Linked DNA regions of Ovis aries. The protein of the gene in region 1 interacts with the protein of each later gene in a pairwise test. Links are inferred from orthologs where the notes say so. Each region holds a gene or a part of one and is shown on either strand. Other genes may lie near its edges. The genes, in order: CCDC102B, ENKD1 and PPP1R18.

What was found.
Region 2: the proteins of CCDC102B (region 1) and ENKD1 interact in binary tests that used the Homo sapiens proteins (3 or more experiments, as listed by UniProt). The two-hybrid records come from large-scale screens. The link is inferred for Ovis aries from reciprocal best matches to the Homo sapiens genes CCDC102B and ENKD1.
Region 3: the proteins of CCDC102B (region 1) and PPP1R18 interact in binary tests that used the Homo sapiens proteins (3 or more experiments, as listed by UniProt). The two-hybrid records come from large-scale screens. The link is inferred for Ovis aries from reciprocal best matches to the Homo sapiens genes CCDC102B and PPP1R18.

Annotation. Positions count from the first base shown.
Region 1 is NC_056076.1:8,633,774-8,640,424, reverse strand, and holds the start of CCDC102B (coiled-coil domain-containing protein 102B), read left to right. Parts: upstream 1-2,442; 5' UTR 2,443-2,494; intron 2,495-6,651. UniProt on the Homo sapiens protein: During interphase, forms fibers at the proximal ends of centrioles to maintain centrosome cohesion. During mitosis, dissociates from the centrosome following phosphorylation to allow centrosome separation. Contributes to CROCC/rootletin filament formation.
Region 2 is NC_056067.1:34,773,945-34,780,615, reverse strand, and holds ENKD1 (enkurin domain-containing protein 1), read left to right. Parts: upstream 1-2,283; 5' UTR 2,284-2,343; exon of another isoform or gene 2,344-2,388; intron 2,389-2,569; 5' UTR 2,570-2,584; coding exon 2,585-2,669; intron 2,670-2,754; coding exon 2,755-2,955; intron 2,956-3,496; coding exon 3,497-3,669; intron 3,670-4,691; coding exon 4,692-4,817; intron 4,818-4,905; coding exon 4,906-5,069; intron 5,070-5,169; coding exon 5,170-5,306; coding exon of another isoform or gene 5,307-5,310; intron 5,311-5,396; coding exon 5,397-5,557; 3' UTR 5,558-5,770; downstream 5,771-6,671. Other genes in the region: C14H16orf86 (uncharacterized protein C16orf86 homolog), read right to left, coding at 441-850, 952-1,199, 1,539-1,765, 1,959-2,063; PARD6A (partitioning defective 6 homolog alpha), read right to left, coding at 6,084-6,671. UniProt on the Homo sapiens protein: Microtubule-binding protein which regulates microtubule organization and stability. Promotes the stability of astral microtubules and facilitates the proper orientation of the mitotic spindle.
Region 3 is NC_056073.1:27,437,461-27,444,129, forward strand, and holds the start of PPP1R18 (phostensin), read left to right. Parts: upstream 1-2,311; 5' UTR 2,312-2,384; exon of another isoform or gene 2,385-3,036; intron 3,037-4,120; 5' UTR 4,121-4,147; coding exon 4,148-5,767; intron 5,768-6,669. Other genes in the region: NRM (nurim), read left to right, coding at 1-177, 782-958, 1,312-1,593.

The DNA.
Region 1 (6,651 bases):
GGGTTTGAGCCCTGGGTCAGGAAGATCCCCTGGAAGAGGGCATGGCAACCCACTCCAGCATTCATGCCTGGAGAATCCCATGGACAGAGGAGCCTGGTGGGCTACCAGCCACTGGGTCTCAAAGGATCAAACATGACTGAAGCGACTTGACGTACACAACATAAACTCTTACTAAAGATGTAGAGGAACAAGCTTGGAGTCAGAGAGATCATTTAGGAAGACACTGCAGTGATCCAGACAGGTTATAGCAGTTACCTGAACCAGGACTGTTGCAGGGGCACGAGAGAGGACTGGGCAGATTACTGAAGTAAAATCAAAAGCAAATGATGCTGCATTGAATACAGATAGAAGTCAAGGATGATGTCTAGAATATTTTTTTAGCTAAGTGTTAGACAGGTTGGCATAACTGAGGCAAACAATACAGCTAGTCCATGGAAAGATGATGATTTCAGTTTTAAATAACTTGATGCTATATTGTCATCTTTCCTAGTAGCAGAGTATAGTGTGATGATATATATGAGTGTTGGAGACTCAGAAGAGGATTGGATCCAAATGTCAGTATTTGGAAATATTACAATATTCGGAAGGAAAGGTGATCATTGAAACCATTAGAATGGGTGACATTATCCAGAAAGGTAATAGATTTACATGAAGACACACTGAAGGATGTAAGGATGAGGGGGAAAAGAAAAGTGAGTGGTCACACGGGAGACCAGGAAGATGTAGTGCTGAGATCTGAGAAGTCTTCACATCGGCGCTGTGGTGAACAATAACAACGGCTACGTAGATGCCGAGTAGCACGGAGACTGAGAGGAGTCTATGAAATTAAAAAAAAAAAAAAATAGTGCCTGTGTGTGAATGCGTGTGTGCAGAGGGGCAAGTATGTGTTTTCAGAGACAGTCACTTTGGTGAACTAAAGGGAGTAGTGGACAGATTAAGTGGAGTTCTTAGAAAGAACTGGAAAGAGGTCTTTCAGTCATCTTACCGTGAAACAGAAGAGAATGCTAACTACGAGGGAAGATGACCCACCTGAGAGCAAGACCCACTGGCATACCTGAGACTCGCAGAACTGATGGTGTTTAGGATCCCATGAGGAAAACCCAGAGGAAAGGAGAGTTCAGTGAGAGAAGGGTATAGTGACTGAGCACATCTGAAAAGACAGGATGGAAGGAAACCTCAGAGGGTTCACTTTCTGTGGGGGATTGGTCACCCTCCATTGTATCAGGAAGAATGGAAGGATGCTCTTCACTAGAAAATAGATGACGGATCTGTTACACAGCTGGGACTTCCCCGTATAGCTCAGCACGTAAAGAATCTGCCTGCAATCCAGGAGACATCCCAGACGCAAGTTTGATCCCTGAGTCGGGAAGATCCCCCGCAGAAGGAAATGGCAACGCAGTCCAGTATTCTGGCCTGGAAAATCCCATGGACAGAGGAGCCTGACAGGCTACACAGTCCATGGGGTTGCACAGAGTCAGACATGGCTGAGCGGCTAAGCACAAGCAGGTTATACAGCCAAGAATATTCATCTGAATTAAAAAGAGGAAGAATAAAATCTTTGAAAATATTAACTCCCTAACTTTCAAATGCTGTTTTCATGCTATTTATTAATATAAGAATACAGTGACTGTGTTTCTTCTGCCCTCTCCTCTGAAAAAAACTTTGGACGTTCTATGCTGTTAGTTAATTCAACTAGAAAAAAACTTGTGTGTGTGTGTGTGGTCTGCCGTCACCCATTCATCAGGACACTTCCTGACAGCTGCATCATGTCGCAGGAAGGTCACTCCATTTGTTTTTTGTCCCACCCCCCACCCCGACCCGACCCCACCCAGGGCAAGGGCCAGAGAGCTCTCTGGGGGCCCAGGAGACTGCAGCTCACAGTTCTTGCCTACATGAATGAAATCAAAGGTTCTGACATACCTTTCTGTATCTTGATTTCTATACCCAAGTAGTTTATTACATATCCTTTTTTCTTTGGGGGCACAATCTAATAAAGATCAGATTGAACCAATGATGCTTCCTTTTGTTCCTGTCATCTGCATTATAATCTTTCTTTAAATCTTTTACGGATAGATTCTTTTTGCTTTGCCAATTTTTCTGTTACTGCTGCAAGTTAAGCAAATTGCTATTAAACATTAAACACACTGGTGGGTGATGAAGGGGTGTGTGTTTCTCCCTTTATTATGCATAGTAAAATTTCAAATAGGTTGTGTAGAAGCATTAGATTACGGTGCTGAGTTAGGGACACTAAAACGATTTCCTTTTGGATCGCTCACTTGTGATCCACGGAGGGTGTTGTGGTATTGGTTTTGATAAAACTTCACAACCAATTGGAACCTTCTTCGAGTTAGTGTGGAGTGGCCTTAATGCTGGAAATAATCCTGTTGGCCTGGACCCCAGAGCTATACAGATGAGAAAAGGATGCAGGGAATTCTTCTGTTTACACATGTGTCTGTAACACTGAGCCGCCGGAGCAGCCCAGCCAGCCCAGAGGGTAAGATGCTTAATAACCTTGTGGCTTTTTATTTAATTTTTGTATTTTCCTGCTTGGGTAGAACCTGTGTTGTTCTCGGAGCAAAGAAAAAGACAGTTGCTTATAAGATCCAAAACAAAACTACCATAGGTCTGGGAAACAGAGGGAATGGACGTTTCTTCTTAAAGTGGACTTGATTTCTTCCCTGCCTCTTCTGTTTCCCACGTTGGTATTATTTCTCCTGGCAGCTTGTTACACAATTCCAGTTTTGTAAAAAAACAAAAACAAAAAACAAAAACCAACATACTGTATACTAACAAAACTCAGGTAAGATTTTTCAACTCTAAACTTAGACAGTAAGATAATATGTTGATAATAAGACCTTGTCTTGTAGTTCCAAATGAATGAGTTAGCCAATGTGTTTGAAGTAGTTTATATTCTTAGAGTAAAAATAAAGTAGAATTGCTATGCAAATCCTCCTACGTATGCCTCGTGCATTTAGAGTTATTTTCATTTTGCTGGTCCGTGTGCTGAATTCCTGTCACTGTTAGCAGAAAAGTATACTTTAAACTTAGCACTAATATTGATTTCTCTATGTAAGTTACCTGGGTAGTGTGGAGAAGAGACATAAAATAATACAATCCTATATAAAATAAAAGGAAATGGATATTTAGAGAAAGTCATTACAGAACTGAAGAAAACATAGCCTCTGGGAAGTATTTGCTTATGTTTCCTGCAAAGATAAATTATGAAATGAAGGTTGAGTGGGCAGAGCTGTTAAATAGAAATAAAAAGGAGATATTCTTTTAAAAAATATAATTATAAATGTGCAACATAGCTTTGAAATGCACGGTGATATTTCTTGATATTCTTGCTTACAGGAGCACTAGTTATCCTATTTTCTAAAATCATCTGAATACACATTTGCTAATATTTTTGTGGGATAGAGTATTGTTACAACTTTTGATTAAATATTTTGTTGTTAATTTTATTGTCAAATATCCTCACATATAAATTAGTTTCTAATTCTGACTTTTCTCCATAGTTTTACAGAAGCATTAGATTAGAAAGGAGTCTTGAAAAGCTAGCGATACAACAGTTGCATAAGTTTGGTGTAATTTTGCAATACTGATTTAATATCAACGTGTATTTGAGTATTTGGAAAAATGTTTTACATGAATTGCATTTCCCCCCAAAACTTTAAAAAGTAGCTTCCTTGTGAGATAACATCATTCAGTGGGGTCTCTTTTGAAGCTTTCATGTGTTTTCATTGGATTCAGTATTTGTTTGACACAGGGACATAGTTTGTGGTGCCTCACTATGGGTGTAGCCTTGAAATTTATGATTTTAGAGACACCTTGAAAGAAAAGTCTGGATGCCTGAGTTGAGGTTTAAAAAATCAGTGGAATTTCCACTGTGATAAGAGAACAGACTATGTAGGATTTTAATACCTTTAAACCATGAAATTTCTGCAGCTTCTTTTATCTCCCTGGATATGTTCCAGTGTCTCCTAGTTTATAGTCTATGGGAACTTGAATAGCATTTGTATCCTACTGTTGTGTGAAAATTGTATAAACCTTAATTACATTGAATTGGTTCAGAGTAATTTTCAGGTCCACTGTACCCTTCTACTTTTCTGTTTACTTTTCTTTCTATTAATTTTTGAGCATTTGATACTGAAACTCCAATTAAAAATCTTATCTACTTAAACAAGTGATTGTAATATATAGTGGAACTTACATGTAACTTTGTTCTGTATTTTCCAAGTCTCCTGTAAATCTGCTATCATACTTTCATAATCTAAAAAGGGAAAAAAATCAGTGGAACTTGAATAGTTGCTAAAAACCCCAAAGACTCTTCTACGATGTAGAAGTGATTGGAGCAAAGGATTTTGAGGCAAAAATTAATATAGAGCGAGGTAGGCTAGGGATGAGTAACCCATCTCACTGAAGCAGAAAAAAATATACCTTGTGAGTAGTAGACACTGGGCTCAATAGAAAGCAGGACATTTATTTTGTCCTTACATAATATACAGAGGTGGCAATTACAAATTTCTGAAGATGCAAATTTCTTCTACTCATCCTCTTCTTCCTTCTTCTTCATCATCTTATTCTTCTTAACCATCAGCTTCTTCTTCATCGTTGAAATATTTTCAACATGTAAGTGTGCTTCTGTGTGCAAGGTAATTACATACGTATCTACAAGTTTGACAGCTATGCAATCAAATGAGCTTCATTTTACACAGTATCTTCATGTTATACATGAAGGAATCTGATGTTCAAAAATGTTAGATGATTTCTTTAAAGCTGCAGATATAGTAAGTGAAGCAGGATTCCAAACAACGTCTTTCTGGCTCCAGAGCTCTTCTACTCTGCTGCACTGGTATTTTAGGAATGTAAATCTGGCAGGAGTTAGCGAGATGGTTGGGAGTGGGCTTTGGGGTAAGCGAGCCCCAGGAATGGGTGGTGAGACCACAGGCAGATCAATTCCAGCAACTGTAGACCAAGCCAATCACAGCCCCCTCAGGTGGCCCGCTCTTGCCTTTGGAATAGAAAGAAGAAAATAAGCAGTCTTTACATTTAAGTTGGCTGTTCTCGTATTCAGCTCTTTTGTTTGTCTCGGTTATTTTCTTGAATGTTGTATTCATACTCAAAGAAGGTATATTTTGATTTCTCAAAGGAAATTTCATCTCTGATTTCATCTAATATTACTTATTCACAAATGAAATAAATGAAGTGACTGGAAATGAAATGACATTGGGAACACACTGCCATTCCTTTTTTTTTTTTTTTTTAATGTGGGCTATGAATGAATGCCTAGTGACTGCATCTTCTTAAAATTATGGAGATACAATTATTACCAAAGAAAATTATCCTATAAGTTTTATTTCAGTGGGTGAAGAGCATATATAAAGTTTATACTGCTAATAGATTATGTTGGGAAGAGTGTACAGATAGTAAAAAGAACTTGTTAACAACACTTTCCCCTTCAAATAGCCAAACCTTAAATGTATTATTTCGCTTTTCCTCTAAAGAGCACAGAACTAGTCTCTTCAATAGCATTCATTTCCTTCTCTATTTTTCAGTATTTTTAATGAAATAAAATTATAAAAGTTCCTTATGTTATAATAATGAGTTTTGTATATATATGTATAATTTCTATGATATCATTTTAGAAATGTACTATTTTAGAAACTTGCTATCACTTATAGGCTTTATTGAAGTAATATCTTTTACCAAGCATCCAAAGAGATAAAGATAGTTGAAATGTAAAAATTCATCCTTTTAAACTTGTCATTGTTAAAATTATTTGTCATTTCAAATGCTTTGGTCACTGGCTTTATGATATTATAATTATTTAATTAAATTAAGTAACTAGATCTAGGCTGACTTCCAAGACTCTTTCCCAGAGAGGGGATTTTGTATAGCCCCATCCTCTATGGCTGATTATAGATGCTCATTTATGATCAAGTGTGAATTGAGAATTTGATTATTAAAAAAATGAAATAGGTATTTTATTGGAGAAAATCAGACCATCAAAGAGAAGATGGGTTGGGCTCAAGGCCATTTGACTGATATCATAGCTTTGCAGAAGATTATTCATCTTTCTGTATGTATAAATATTACCTGATTGATTTATAATCAGTGGTATTTGCCAAGAATTGCTGTTAGGTGTAACAAAGATATACAGATATTTGAAATTAACGTTCTGATAGAAGCATTTTTTTGGCATGTGAAGACAGATATCCTTAGTATTGGGTAGGAAAAATATGCTTACTGCAGAACTTACAAATGGTGTTTTATCCTAATGCTTGCTTTTAATTTGTAGAATTAAAGTTTCAAAAAAAATAGAAGTGAGTCTGTCAGCCACTGACTCATGAACATATGTTTCTAAGATGCAGGAACCATTTAGAAATGTAACAGGAGGTAAAGTGACAATATTCCAATGAAGAGGAGCCTGAAACAACTTTGGTTTTTATGGAAATAGTTCTGAGGGTTTTTCAGAGTCTTTCATTTCCTCCCTTAGTGAATTTAGGATTATGAAGGCATTATGTCAAAAGTTGAATTTATGATGGCTGCCAAAGTTCTAATGGCTTTATTATTCAGTGTATATTCATAGATTCCTTTCTTCTGTTTGCTCATCATCTGAAAGAGTCAAAAACATAACTCACATATTGT
Region 2 (6,671 bases), on another chromosome or scaffold:
TGGATTCTTTACCAACTGAGCCACCAGGGAAACCCAAGTATACTGGAGTGGATAGCCTATCCCTACACCAGGGGATCTTCCAAACCCAGGGATTGAACTGGGGTCTCCTGCATTGCAGGCAGATTCTTTACCAGCTGAGCCACCAGGGAAGCCTAGGTCTGAGGCAGTGCCCAGGAATCTATATTTTTGCAAATTCCCAGGCGATCCAGTGACTGCACTGGGGAATCCTTCACCCTTTTTCCCAGCTGCTCCCTCTTCAGGCATCTTATTTGGGGAATCACAGTCTGAGAAAAGGAAGAATGTTTATTTTTATCAAACGTGGGATCCCAGAGAGGGGCAGGGGCTGAGTCCCCTCCTCCACCTGAGAGCCTCAGGCCTTAGACTGCTGCTCTGGCTCAGGCTTGGGAGGGCAGGGAGTCATGGGGTGGGGGTCAGGATAATCACTTGTACTGAGGAGAGAGTGGGGGGACAAGCGGGGCATTGCAGACACTTAGCATCTTGTTGATGTCCACCTGAGTTGACTTGTCCATCTCAGCCTTGAGGCAACCGCTTACCCCCAAGCTGGGCAGACCCCCAGGCTCCTCACTGGCTTCCTCCCCCAGGGGAACCAGAGTGTGGGTCGGGGGCACAAACATACTGGGGCAGGGCAGAGTGAGGTCGGAGCCCAGCTCACCTGCCACTGGCAGCAATGCCTGCAGTTGCTCCACACCCGCCTCCTCGGGGACCACTGTCAGCTCTGACTCAGGCTCCACCTCAGCCTCAGCCTCCCTGTCCCCCTCCCCTGCCTGGTTCAGTTCAGGGTTGCAATAGTTGATGTACTGGTACAGGGGCCGCAGGCGCTGGGCCTTTCCTACAAGAACCCAGGGCAGGGCAATGACTGGAGTGCCAAGCTGGGCTGTGTTGGGTCCAGCTGGCTGGGACAAAAGGGAAGGCTCAGGAAATGCCACTCACGCTCAGGCCCCAAGGTCACTGAGGGTGCCGACACCGTGCTGGCCACCACTGGGAGCACTGGGGTTCCCAGACTCTTGCGCTTCTTGGTCTTTTTGTGCTGTTTGGCAGATGGTGAGGGCTCATTCTGATTATTCTCCGGCTCTTCCCTCTGCAGCGACAGCCCCTGTGGCAACTCACTCTCTGCCCTAGGATGGGCTTGGTGGCTCGGGCCTGTGAGGCTGGGGAACAAGGAGGCCTGAGGAGCCAGCCTGCAGCCTTGGCTCCTGTGCCCTGTCCTAGGGAACAGTCCTGCCTGCCTACCTCCCCAGGCCGTGATCCTTGTCCTTTTCCTGGTCAGTGAGGCCCTGGACTGGACAGGGACCCAGAGATCATGGGAGTTCAGTCCCCTACCAGGCCTTGAGACTTTTGCTCTGCATGTTCCCTACATCAGGGCTCTGGAGGGTCAGCAGAGGTGAGGAATGATGGTGGTGTCAGGGGATAAGGATGGACACTACTGTAAGGCCCCATTTAAGAATCCAACTGGGGTATGAGCCACCCCCACACCACCTCCCCAGTTCCCAGTCTCTTCCCTCTGAAAGCCCCCTCACTTGACCGGCTTCCTCTTCGGACCATGACTGGGCCTCACAGTGGAGGCCGTAGGCCTGGGACCTCTCTCCTCCAGGGCCTCCACCTCTGGTTTGTGCCTGTCTTCCTCCAGCTTGAGTCTCTCCTGGATCTTTGGCTCTGAGGTGGATCTTATTGGACATTTATCTTCATCCTGGGTTTGGCAGGCCTCATGGGCTGGCACCAGGCCCTGGTCTCCCATCACTGGACACTAGCGGTGACACACAGGTAACTGGTCACCATGGCCAGGTAAAGGATACAGGGACCAGCCATTAGACTCTAAATACTCTGGATGAAGGGCACCAGCCCATGCCCCTCCCAGCCTGTGGAACCTGGCCTGGCAGTTTTGGTCTATTAAAGCGCTATGACCCAAGTGTTTGAAGGTTAGACAGCCCGATGGTCACCTCAGAATTCTGAGCATGGCCACCAGGCATCTCTGTAAGCTGTGACTGCCCCACGGCTGCCCCTTCTTGGGCCCCTGGCCGCTTCTCAGCCCCTGCGGAGTCCATAGCTGCGGCGGATCAGCACTTCCTCGACGGTTGCTTGAGGGGCATTGGGGATGGAGGGCGGATCCTGAGGGGCCAGACTAGTAGACCCTGAGCGGACCCGGGAGAGGACCGGATTGGGAAGGGCAACTGACAGTCGTTCTGCTCCCCCCTCAGCTGGAACTACAGGCCCCAGAAGGCTTTGCGCCAAGGCCATTGGCCCCTGACCTCACGGACGGAAACCATTGTTGCCTGGCAACAGCAAACCCGTCGGGTGGCGGCAGTGGGCGGCAAAACCGCTCTGGTGAGCCCCTTGCCCGAGTGAGAAGCCTGCCAACGGTACTGAGAGGTGGGCTGAGAGCAGAGGTGGCGAGCGCAGGCCGGGGCCGGGAGGCGGGGTGGGGGCCGGGAACGCAGGCAGGGCACGGCTGAGGTTAGGACCCGGGGCCAGGGAGGAGGCACTGGGCTGAGAAGCCGGGTTTGGAGCCAGAGACGCGTAGCCCGGCAGGCCTCAGGTGCAACGTTTGCAGGACGGCGGCGGCGGTATGTGTGAGGGTCCGTCCCGCATCTCGGGGCCCATCCCCCCAGACCCTACGCTCTGTCCGGACTACTACCGGAGGCCGTCTTCGGGTGAGTTAGGGAGTGAAAGCGGCCTGGCAAGGGTCGGGCCCAGCTCCACCACTGACTCCGCACTCTGCCCCGTCTGGCCTCTCAGCCCAAGGGCGCCTTGAGGGAAACGCGCCGAAGTTGGACCTGCTGACGACGGATACGGACCCGGACCTAGACGCCACCCCTCCCCGCGCCCCTCGCATCCGTCCGGGAGGCCTAGAAATCCTGGAGCGTGGCCGTCGCGGCGTGGGTGGTGTGCTGCTGCAGCTCGGGGGTATCTCCCTAGGCCCAGGGGCCTCTCCCAAGAGTAAGTTCTGGTCAGAACGGACAGCGAGGCGGCTCTGAAGTCAAAACAGATAAAAAGACGGCTGCTTCCCCTTCCCTGCTCTGGGCTCAGGCTTTACCTCTCAGAGTGTCTGTTTCCCCAACTGTAGAAGGAGCGGGAAATGCACGACTTCTTCGCAGGAGAGGACTAAATGAGGCATACCCCGGAAAAGCCCGTAGCTCAGCTTCATGGATTTATGCATGGTTGGTTGTTGAGTGTCTGCTGTGCTCCAGGCCCTATGGGTGCTAGGAGAACAAGGTCGAAGAAGCGCATCATTGAATCAAGGTGGGAGACAGTAAAACAAGTGAAGAGGTGAATAGGATATGCAAGGTGATTACTAGTATACTTCATAATCAAATATGTATAAAATCATCAGAAACAGAAGATAATTATGGTGTGAGGACGAGAACAAGGTTATGTGGTGGACTTTAGAGTATGTCAGGGAGGCAGGGTGTGGGCTTGTGTGTCCACTGGGGTAAGTTGGATTGTATGGGCTGTATGTAGGGCAACATCTTTTCTCCAGGGAAGGACCCTAAAGACCATGAGAAGGAGAACATGAGGCGGATCAGGGAAATCCAGAGGCGCTTCCGTGAGCAGGAGCACAGCCAGGAGCAGGCCCAATCCAGGCCCCTGAAGGCCCTGTGGCGCTCACCCAAGTATGACAAAGTGGAGTCGCGTGTCAAGGCTCAGCTGCAGGTACCTGCCTCAGGGAGCCCCAAGTGTTGCCCGTCTTGTTGGCCAACAGGACATTATACTCTGACTTGAGTTATGAGGAGGGAGGAAACCCACAGTGGGCTGAGGTCACAGGGGATGAAGAGCTGGTCCTGCTGCAGAGTGGGGCTGTGGCCTTTCTCTGAAGTGATGACAGCTGGGTGATTCTGAGGGGCAAGTCGGAATTAGGCAAGGGGAGAATAGAGGAGAACATTTTATAGAAATGGAACCTTGTGGTTCCAGGGTCCCTGGTCCTAACACCAGGGACTTAGGAGTGTGGGCAGTGGGGATGCTGTGTTCAGTTCACTATGAGGGAGGAAGAACATGAGGTTAGGCTAAGAAGTCAGCTGGACCCACATCATAAAGGGCCACATAAATCCATTTTTTTAAACCTTTATTTCTAAGGACAATGGGAAGGGCAGGGGTATGTATGGTGGTAAGATTCTATCTGGGGTAGCTAGTGGTGCCACTTCTCTTTCCAGGGGTCTGAGAAGGAGAAGTAGGACAGAAAAAAAGACAAGGTCATATGTGGGTGTGTTGAAGCTGAAGCTTTTGTGGGGCTTCCAGGGAGTGGGAATGTGTCCAAGAGGCAGATGGAGAATCAGGTCTGGATCTCAGAAGTGAGACCCAGGAGCTATTGAGGACGAGGCTGAGGATAGTGAAACCAGGGAAGTGACCCTGGATTTGGGGGCTTGGAGACCAGCTGTTGGTGGCCTTGGTAGGGACAGAGCCAGAAAGCTTGACTAGGAAGGAGAGAAAAAGAGAACGATGACTGAAGCCAGGACTGAGGTAGAGGGAGGGAAATATGTTTTCTGAGAGATGTGAAAAACACACAGGTTTAAATGCTGATGTGATGGAAGTACTTATTCAAGAGGAAGGAGGCCAGGTCCAGAGGACTGGTGATAGAGAAAGATCCTGAAAGACAGGAGGGACAGAGGCATGGTCTTACAGCTTGAGACCCTGACTTCAGCCTGACTGACCACCCCCCGCTCTGCCTTGGCCTCCAGGAGCCCGGCCCTGCCTCTAGAACTGAGCCAGCCCACTTTCTGCGGGCCCATTCCCGTTGCGGCCCCGGGCTCCCACCACCCCGTGTCCCCAGTCCCCAGCTAACCCTACCAGGTCCCAATGCTAAGGTGAGAGGATATGTGGGGGCTGGGAGGTGGGGCAGGGATTCCGGGGCACCACACAGTGCTGTTTCATCATGCTGGCCATGTCCCGCAGGCCCCAGGTCTGGGTGTGGACTTCATTATGCACAATGCCCGCACTGCCAAGAGGGCCCCCCGGCGGCATTCTCGCTCGCTGCAAGTCCTGGCACAGGTGCTGGAGCAGCAACGGCAAGCCCAGGAGCACTACAACGCCACGCAGAAGGGTCACGTGCCCCATTAGTAGGTCCTACTGCTCCCCCCACTCCTGGGAAGGGGCACTTATGGAGGGTGGAAGCCCACGTCTGCCTAGGGTCATCAGCCCTGGGTCTGTGCATCACAGCTTGTTGGAGCGCAGGGACCTGTGGCGGCGGGAGGCTGAGGCCCGTCAGCACAGCCAACCAGACCCAGCCATGCCCCCTGGCCACACTCGCATGCCTGAGAACCAGCGGCTGGAGACACTGAGCAGTCTGCTCCAGAGTGAGTACGTGGGCAAGGGGAGCTGGCTGGGGAACCCACCAGGTACTATGCACCCCTGCCCAGCATTTACTGTTCCTGGGGCCCCTGTAGGCCAGAGCCAGCTGCTGCGCGAGCTGGTGCTGCTGCCTGCGGGGGCGGATTCACTGAGGGCCCAGAGCCACCGTGCTGAGCTGGACCGGAAGCTGGTGCAGGTAGAGGAGGCCATCAAGATCTTTTCCCGTCCCAAAGTCTTTGTGAAGATGGATTCCTGAGCCCTTTTATGGGGACAGTGACTGGGTCTTACTGAAGGTCACAGCATGGTTGCTAAGGGCAGGATTGGGCCCCATCATAGAGTGGAGTTCGAAGACAGGAGCAGTGGAGAGGGGGCAGTGTCCCCAGAGCCCTCTTCCCAGCCACTGGTGGCTGTGGAAGGGCCATCCCAGCCTCATAACCCTTTATCAAAATTAAACCTTTTGTACACAGTGGGGTTTGTTTCCATAAGTGCTTTTCTTACCCTAGAAATGCCAAACCTGTTGTTCCTCCCGCAGTGTGACTACAGGAAGACTTCTCTGGTGCCCTTATCACACTCACTCCTGCCACATGTCCAGAGAAGAAGGCAAAATTGTTGGATCAGGGAGGAGGCTAGGGCTGGGAAACAGAATGACCATAACTGCATTTGTAGAAAACCTTTAATGTTCCCCAGACTGAGAGGGCCCGTAAGCACGCTGAAACCTCCCACTGGGAAAGTCCTTGGAGTGTCCCAGAGCCTGGAGTGGCAAGGGGCTGCATCCTTCCCTGTCAGAGGCTGAAGCCACTACCATCTCCTCGAATGCTACTCCCCCAACCAGAGCTGGCCTGCTCCCGATCATCCAGGGAGGGCAGAGAGCTGCGGGCAGCAGGAAGTAGGCGGCTTGTGCGCAGGTCCCAGCATGGAGGCCCTTGAGACAGCCCATTGGAACAGGGAGGCTGGCGGTTCTCAATGATTAGATCGCTGCTGTCATCGTCGCTGTCAGGCTCAGCAGGCCCAGCAGAAGGAGGCCCTGCCAGACGCCCGGATGCCCCACGCACCACATTATTGCGCTGATTGGCTGGCTTGACAGTGACAATGAGGTTGTGGCTGTTGGCGACCATCATGTCCGTCACTTGGTCCAAGGTCTTCCCAGCTACCTCAATGCCATTGACCTCGAGGATCTCATCACTGACTGCCAGCAGCCCTGTACTCTCAGCCAGGCCCCCTCGTACCAGGCGGGAGATGAAGATGCCTGGAACCCGTTCCAGGCCCTGGGGAGCTACTCGCACACTCATGCCATCTCGGATGTAGAAACCCAGGGGGCGGTCGGAACCATGCTTATGCAGCCGCACCCGTCGGTGGGTCTCAGGCAGTAG
Region 3 (6,669 bases), on another chromosome or scaffold:
GCTGCCCTGCAGGACCAAAGCATCCTTGTCCCGCTGGTTTGGGATCTGGGGCTCCTGTTACTGTTTGTGGGGCAGCACAGCCTCATGGCAACTGAGACCGTGAAGGAATGGATGTCCCGGTACTTTGGGGTCCTTCAGAGGTCACTGTACGTGGCATGCACTGCCCTGGCCTTGCAGGTATGAAGCCCTGGCAGCTGAGTCCTCAAGGGAAACAGCATGTGTGAAGGATGTCATTGATTGGAGCTGCAAGAACCTCAGGCTTCGGATAAAGTGTGGGTTTAGGAGGAGAACTGAGGGTGTTCAGGACTAGTCTCAGCTCCCGTTATTTCACAGCACACATTTCTCCTTTTTATCAAGAAGTATGTACTGCTTGTCATCCCCTACGCATGATGTGTGCATTCTCACCTTTGCAACTTCGTTCCTGTTGTCCCGCTTGAGAGTGCCTTGGTAACACCTCTTCAGTCTTATCCTTTCTTCAAAAGCACTTCCCTAGATCTCAAGAGAAAGCTTCCCGGTTAGTACTCACCTGTCTCCTCAGTGGGTGCTTGGCATAGGCTATTTTGTGTGCCTATGTGGTCACCCTCATCCATTCTCTAAGTCCTCAGAGTGGAGACAAGTCATTCTTACATCCTTAGGACCCCACCCAGCACCCTCCACATGGTGAACATGCTCATGATAGAGGTGGGGGGAACAGCTGGCCAGCCTGGACTGGAGGCAGCCCCTGGGTCTGGGTCTGTCAAGGGTGGGCTGCTGGGAAACCCAGTTCCTCTTCCTTCCTCAGCTGGTGATGCGGTACTGGGAGCCTGTGCCCAGGGGTCCTGTGTTGTGGGAGGCTCGGGCTGAGCCATGGGCCACTTGGGTGCCCCTCCTCTGCTTTGTCCTCCACGTCATTTCCTGGCTCCTCATCTTCAGCATCCTTCTCGTCTTCGACTACGCAGAGCTCATGGGCCTGAAACAGGTGAGGCTCCCAGATCCCTACCCAAGACATCTGATCCTTTCTAGAATACCTCTTTCCCCTCCAAGGATGTCCCTGTGCCTCCCATTGTCTTCCACCTGCCTCTTGTTTTTGAGCCCTTCACCTCCCTTTCTTATAAGACAGTCTCCCCCCAGCCCTCCCTCAAAGGCTAGGAATCATGGGCTTCTTGGGCCTGGGAAGGTTCATGGGCCAGAGATGAGGGTCAGGGACCTCCAGTCTCAGGAGGGTGGTTCCTGAGCCTGTCATAGAAGGAGGGTGCCCAGGACGGGAGGAAAGAGGCAGTTAAGTTGTGACAAGGGCTTGGCTCCATTCCTAAGCCATTCTCCCTCTGCTAGGTGTACTACCATGTGCTGGGGCTGGGCGAGCCTCTGGCCCTGAAGTCGCCCCGGGCTCTGAGACTCTTCTCCCACCTGCGCCATCCAGTGTGCGTGGAGCTGCTGACAGTGCTATGGGTGGTACCCACCCTGGGCACTGACCGCCTGCTCCTTGCTCTCCTCCTTACCCTCTACCTGGGCCTGGCTCACGGACTGGACCAGCATGATCTCCGCTATCTCCGGGCCCAGCTACAAAGAAAACTCCACCTGCTCTCCCGGCCCCAGGATGGGGAGGCCGAGTAAGGGGTTAACCCTGGTTGCAAGCCCTGTACTTCCTCTCTCCCTCCTATCCCAAATTCCCTTAACATCTAGGCCTTGGCTGCTTCAGACCAGAGGCCCAAATCCATGGACTGAAGGAGTGGTCCCTTTCCTTGCTTGAGCCTCCACTCCTTGGTTCCAGCTCCATACTGAATTTCAGCCATTGGACTCCAAGGGCCACTTCTCACCAGCCAGGAAGGAGTGGCTGGGAACTTCTTCTCACAGTTCAGGGCTTGACCCTCCGTTAACAATTTCCTCACCAAGAGAAGAGTCTGGCTTGACCACTCCCTTAGCCCTGTTACTACCCTCTGTGCCTCAGGGATCCTTTCTCCACGTCTAGCTCCCTCCCAGGGGCTGGACCGAGGCCCACTGTCTGGCCTTTTCAGCTCCCTAGGCCCCGACCCTAGGCTCCATCCTCCTGAACCTAGTTGAGCGGTTTCTCCCGTTCTTAGCTAAGGTGACTAGAGGCTCCCTGCTTTCCCGAGGAACTCACGCTACAGGAAAATAAAATTCAGTCTGGTTTTTCTACGTGTAGAATGCAGTCTGTCAGTGTCTCTCAAAGCTGCAGGGCTGGCTCTGGGAAAGGCGAGTTACATTGGAGTCTGGGCATCGGCCGCGCCTTCTGGTGACCGCTGGGCGGCGGCCACTCCCCGCGCACCCAGCCCTCCACCCCCTTCCCGGAGCACCCGGTCCCCCTTCCTCCAAATCTCCCAATTTCCTTGCTGCAGACCCGGGTGGGGGACGGGCTGAAACGGAAGAGTGGGGAGACGGTTCGGGTAAGGGAGCGAGCTTCCGAAACCGTTGTCTTCCCAGCCCTGCTCCTGTGGCCGCCCCCTCCCCACGGGCCCCGCAAGCGCCCCCACGGTAACAAAGGCTGGCCCGGGAAGGCAAAAGCGTGGGGAGGAGCGGCAGGAGATGGGAAGGGCGGGCCCGGCTCCGAGCAGCTGCCGCTTCCTCCCGAAGTCCCTCGAGGGGTCTGAGTCACGGGCCGCCGCCCCGGCTTGGCTAGCTGGGGGTGGGGGTCTGGACACCTGGGCTGTCCAGGGTTACCGGGCGGCAGCCGCGTGAGAGGCCCTGGGGAAGGACCGCGGAGTGCCGGGGATCGCGGCGGGAAAACAGGAGTCCCGGGGCCGAGGATCCACGCGGGGGACCCGGGGAGCGAGGCTCCGCCCCCGCGCCCGGCTCCGCCCAGCGCCCCCTTCCCTCTCCCCATTGTCCTCAGACAAAGCGGCGGCCGCCCCCCGCTCGGCCCCCGGGTCTGTCTCCGTCCCTCCCCTTCTCCTCCCTTCCCCCCTCCCGCGCCCCCCGCGCCCCCCCCCACCTCCTGCCCCGGATCTCCCTCTATCCCTCTCTCCTCCTCTTCCTCTCTCCTCCTCTCTCCGGACGTCAGGCTCCTTCGCACCCCCTCCCCCGGGAGCCCCGCGGCATGTGAGTTGACCCAGGGGCTTCAGACTTGGGGAGGGGGTGTCCCCTCCCTTCCGTCCCGGGCGCGGACCTCGGGCTGCCTCTCCTCTCTTTGTGCCGAGATTGCCCGTCAGTGCGGTCATAGCCGGGTGGGGACGGCTGGCGAGGTCGGGGTTCCATGAGCGCCGAGACCCCGGCGCGAGACTGGCCGGCTCCGGAGAGAAGCGGTGTGGAGCCGGTGCTCCGTACGCCTGAGGCGCTCGCTCGCCCGGGACCCCGGGGCATCGCCGGTGGGGGAGGCCGGCGGCGGGGCCCGGACCGGGTTAGGGTTGGTGGGGGGTGGACGCCAGGGTTCTGGGAACGAGCTGGCAGCTCCGATCGCCGGGTTCCGAAAGTCCCCGGGGGAGGGTATTTCCCCTGGCCCGCCCCGGGGCGGAGTGCAGGGCGGAGGGGTGGGGGCTGGGGGGTCTGAGAGGCGTGGCTCAAGCGGAGCTGGAAGGGGAGCCCGGACCTCCGGGGCCCGCGCCGAGACTCGCCCGGCTACAGCCGCCGAGCTCCCTCGCCCCTCTGCCCCCGATTCCCCCTTCTCCCCTGGACCTGTCCACTCTCCGCCCTCCCACCTTCCCGACACCCCTTCAGGTCCCACTGCCCCCTCTCCGCCGGGGATCCCGCTGACCTCGCTTCCCACTCCCGCCGCTCCTGAGGTAGCGGTCAGGCAACCTCGGTCGGATCCTGCCCCGCTCACCCCCAGCCTCTCTTCTCTCTTCTCCCTCGTGCCAGCTTCTTTCGTTTTTCCCTCTTCTCACAACCTGGGGACTGTCTCTGATGCCCAGTAACCTGTACCCACAAATCTGACTCCTGTCTCTTTGCCCTGAATCTCCACTGTTCCTCTCGACCCACCTCCCCCAACCCCATCACCTGGCTCTTAGTTTCCTCTTCACTTTCTCAGGTTTTCCCCTTTCTCTGCTCCCCTCCGCCGCCCCCTTTCCTACTGTCCTCACCCTCAGCTCCTCTGTGACCCACCTCTCCCCCTGCTTCCTCTCCCCCACCCCCATTCTCACCTCCTGGGCCCCTCTGGAGCCTCTCCTTCCTGTTCTCTGCCCCCCAGCGTTCCCCCACCCTCCCCAAGGCGACCATGGCCACCATCCCAGACTGGAAGCTACAGCTGCTAGCCCGGCGCCGGCAGGAAGAGGCAGCCGTTCGCGGCCGTGAGACGGCAGAGCGGGAGCGGCTGTCGCAGATGCCAGCCTGGAAGCGGGGCCTTCTGGAGCGCCGCCGGGCCAAGCTTGGTCTGTCTCCTGGGGAGCCTAGCCCTGCGCCTGGGACTACGGAGGCTGGACCTCCAAACCCAGACGAGTCTGCTGTCCTCCTGGAGGCCATTGGGCCTGTGCACCAGAACCGATTTATCCGGCAAGAGCGCCAGCAGCAGCAGCAGCAGCAGCAGCAGCAGCAACAGCAGCGGAGTGAAGAGCTACTCACGGACAAACGGCCTGGACCTTTGGAGACCCGGGGGCGGAGACCCAGCCCCGGGGAGACACGGGATCCCAGCCCCAAGGGAAGAGAGTCCAGGGAAGAGCGGCTCAGTCCTAGGGAGGCCAGAGAGAAGAGGCTGGGGATAGGGGGCGCTCGAGAGTCGAGCCCCAGGCCTTTGGAGTCTCGGGACTGGAGGCAGAGCCCAGGAGAGGCTGGAGACAGGAGCTCTAGACTGTCAGAGGTGCGGAAATGGAGGCTGAGCCCTGGAGAAACTCCTGAGCGGAGTTTGAGACTGGCAGAGCCCCGAGAACAAAGCCCCAGGAGAACAGAGGTGGTGGACAGTAAACGGAGCCCCGAAGAGTCTGACAACCAGAAGCTGGGCCTGACAGACTCCCATAAATGGAGGCCTGACCCCAAAGAGTCTCCGGGACAGAGTTTGGGACAACTGGAGGCATCAGAGTGGAGGCCGAGTTCAGGAGAAGAAAGAAAAGACTGCTCAGAGGAATGGGGGAGAAAAGACGAGAGGCCGATTCCAAGAATGGACCCAGAAGGGACCACAGCGTCGTCAGAGACCCCAACAAGGGAGGCTCCAGACAGTCGCTCTGCAGGACCAGAGGGAGCAGAAGAAAGGCCCAGCCCCGTAGAGGATGGCGAGAGGGGCCTGCGGCCCCCGGAAGGATGGAAATGGACCCTGAACTCTGGGAAGGCCCGAGACTGGACACCCAGGGACACAGAGCCTCAGCCCCAGAAACCAGACACTCCAGAGTCTGTTGAGAAGCACGTGGGTCCTTTGGGTGCAGAGGCTGAGAAGGAGGAGGCGGGCGCTCAGAGCAGGCCTCTGGGCGCCCTGCAGGACCGCTGCTCTGCGCCCTCCCCCCTCTCCCCAGAGGACGCCGGGACTGGAGCCTCTAGACGGCAGGAAGAGGAAGCAGGGGAACTCCGGCCCCCACCCGCAGCCCCTCTGTCTCCCCCACCCCCAGCCCCACCTGCCCCCCAGTCCCTTGGGGATCCCCTCATGAGCCGGCTCTTCTACGGGGTGAAGGCAGGGCCAGGGGTGGGGGCCCCCCGCCGCAGCGGACACACCTTCACAGTCAACCCCCGGCGGTCCGCGCCCCCTGCAGCCCCTGCCACTCCAGCCGCCCCAGCCACAGCTGACACGGCGGTCCCTGGGGCTGGGAAGAAGCGGTACCCGACTGCCGAGGAGATCTTGGTTCTGGGGGGCTACCTCCGCCTCAGCCGCAGCTGCCTTGTCAAGGGGTCCCCTGAAAGGCGCCACAAACAGGTAGGGAGCAGCCAACCCAGACTTCTTGGCCAGCCCCCCATCACTGCTCTGTGGACTCCTGTCTCTCTCCCTTTTTTTATACCTCTGTATCCTTGTCTTCATCTATTCTTGTTCATTCCTGCTGCCACCCTTCCTCCCCTGAACACACACCCTTCCTTCTTGTGGCCCTTCTTTTCCATTCATTTCCCAGCCCAAGGAGCCTGCTCCGCAATCAGGCTCGCTGTCCTGGGTGTGTCTCTCTCAGGGTGTGCCCAGGCTCCTCACTCTTCTCTCCCTCAGGCTCTGAGTTCACCCCCCCATGCTTTCCATTCCCGAGTCTCTGACCCAGCCCAGCCCATCTGGGTGGGAGACCAGAATTGAGGCCACAGCCTGGAATCTATGGGGGCAGGGTCTGCAGGGCAAAAGTGGGCAAAAGAATGCTGGGGTAGGAAGCCTGGGGAGGCAGAGGGGTTCGGGTTTTAGGGAGAAATGGCAGGGAGAAGCGAGTGGAGGAACATCTCACAGACCCAAGGAAGGGGGGGCTGCAGAGCGGAGTGGGGACATCCTAGGATAGTGGGGGAGGGGAGTGGAACAGGGGCTAGCCAAGGAGCAGAGAGAAGGCTTTTGAACCCCGAGTCTGCCCCATGGGAGAGATGCACACAGAGGCCATTTGAAGTGGGTGACCTCGGGGTTGCACATCCCCAGCTGGGCCACGGCTTCAGACAGTGCTCCCTTCTCTCTTGGGACAAGAAAAGCCTTCTCCTCTTCCAAAATACTCCCCGCCCCACCACTCCCTCCCAGTCCTTCCTCCCTGGGCGTCCCCTCCCTCCCCAGAACTGGCTCAGCAGTTGGTTTTCCCCTTTCTTCCTGGCCTCTCCCTCCTCTTGGGGTAGAAAGAAAGAGAAGTGAATTTGGAGGCACTG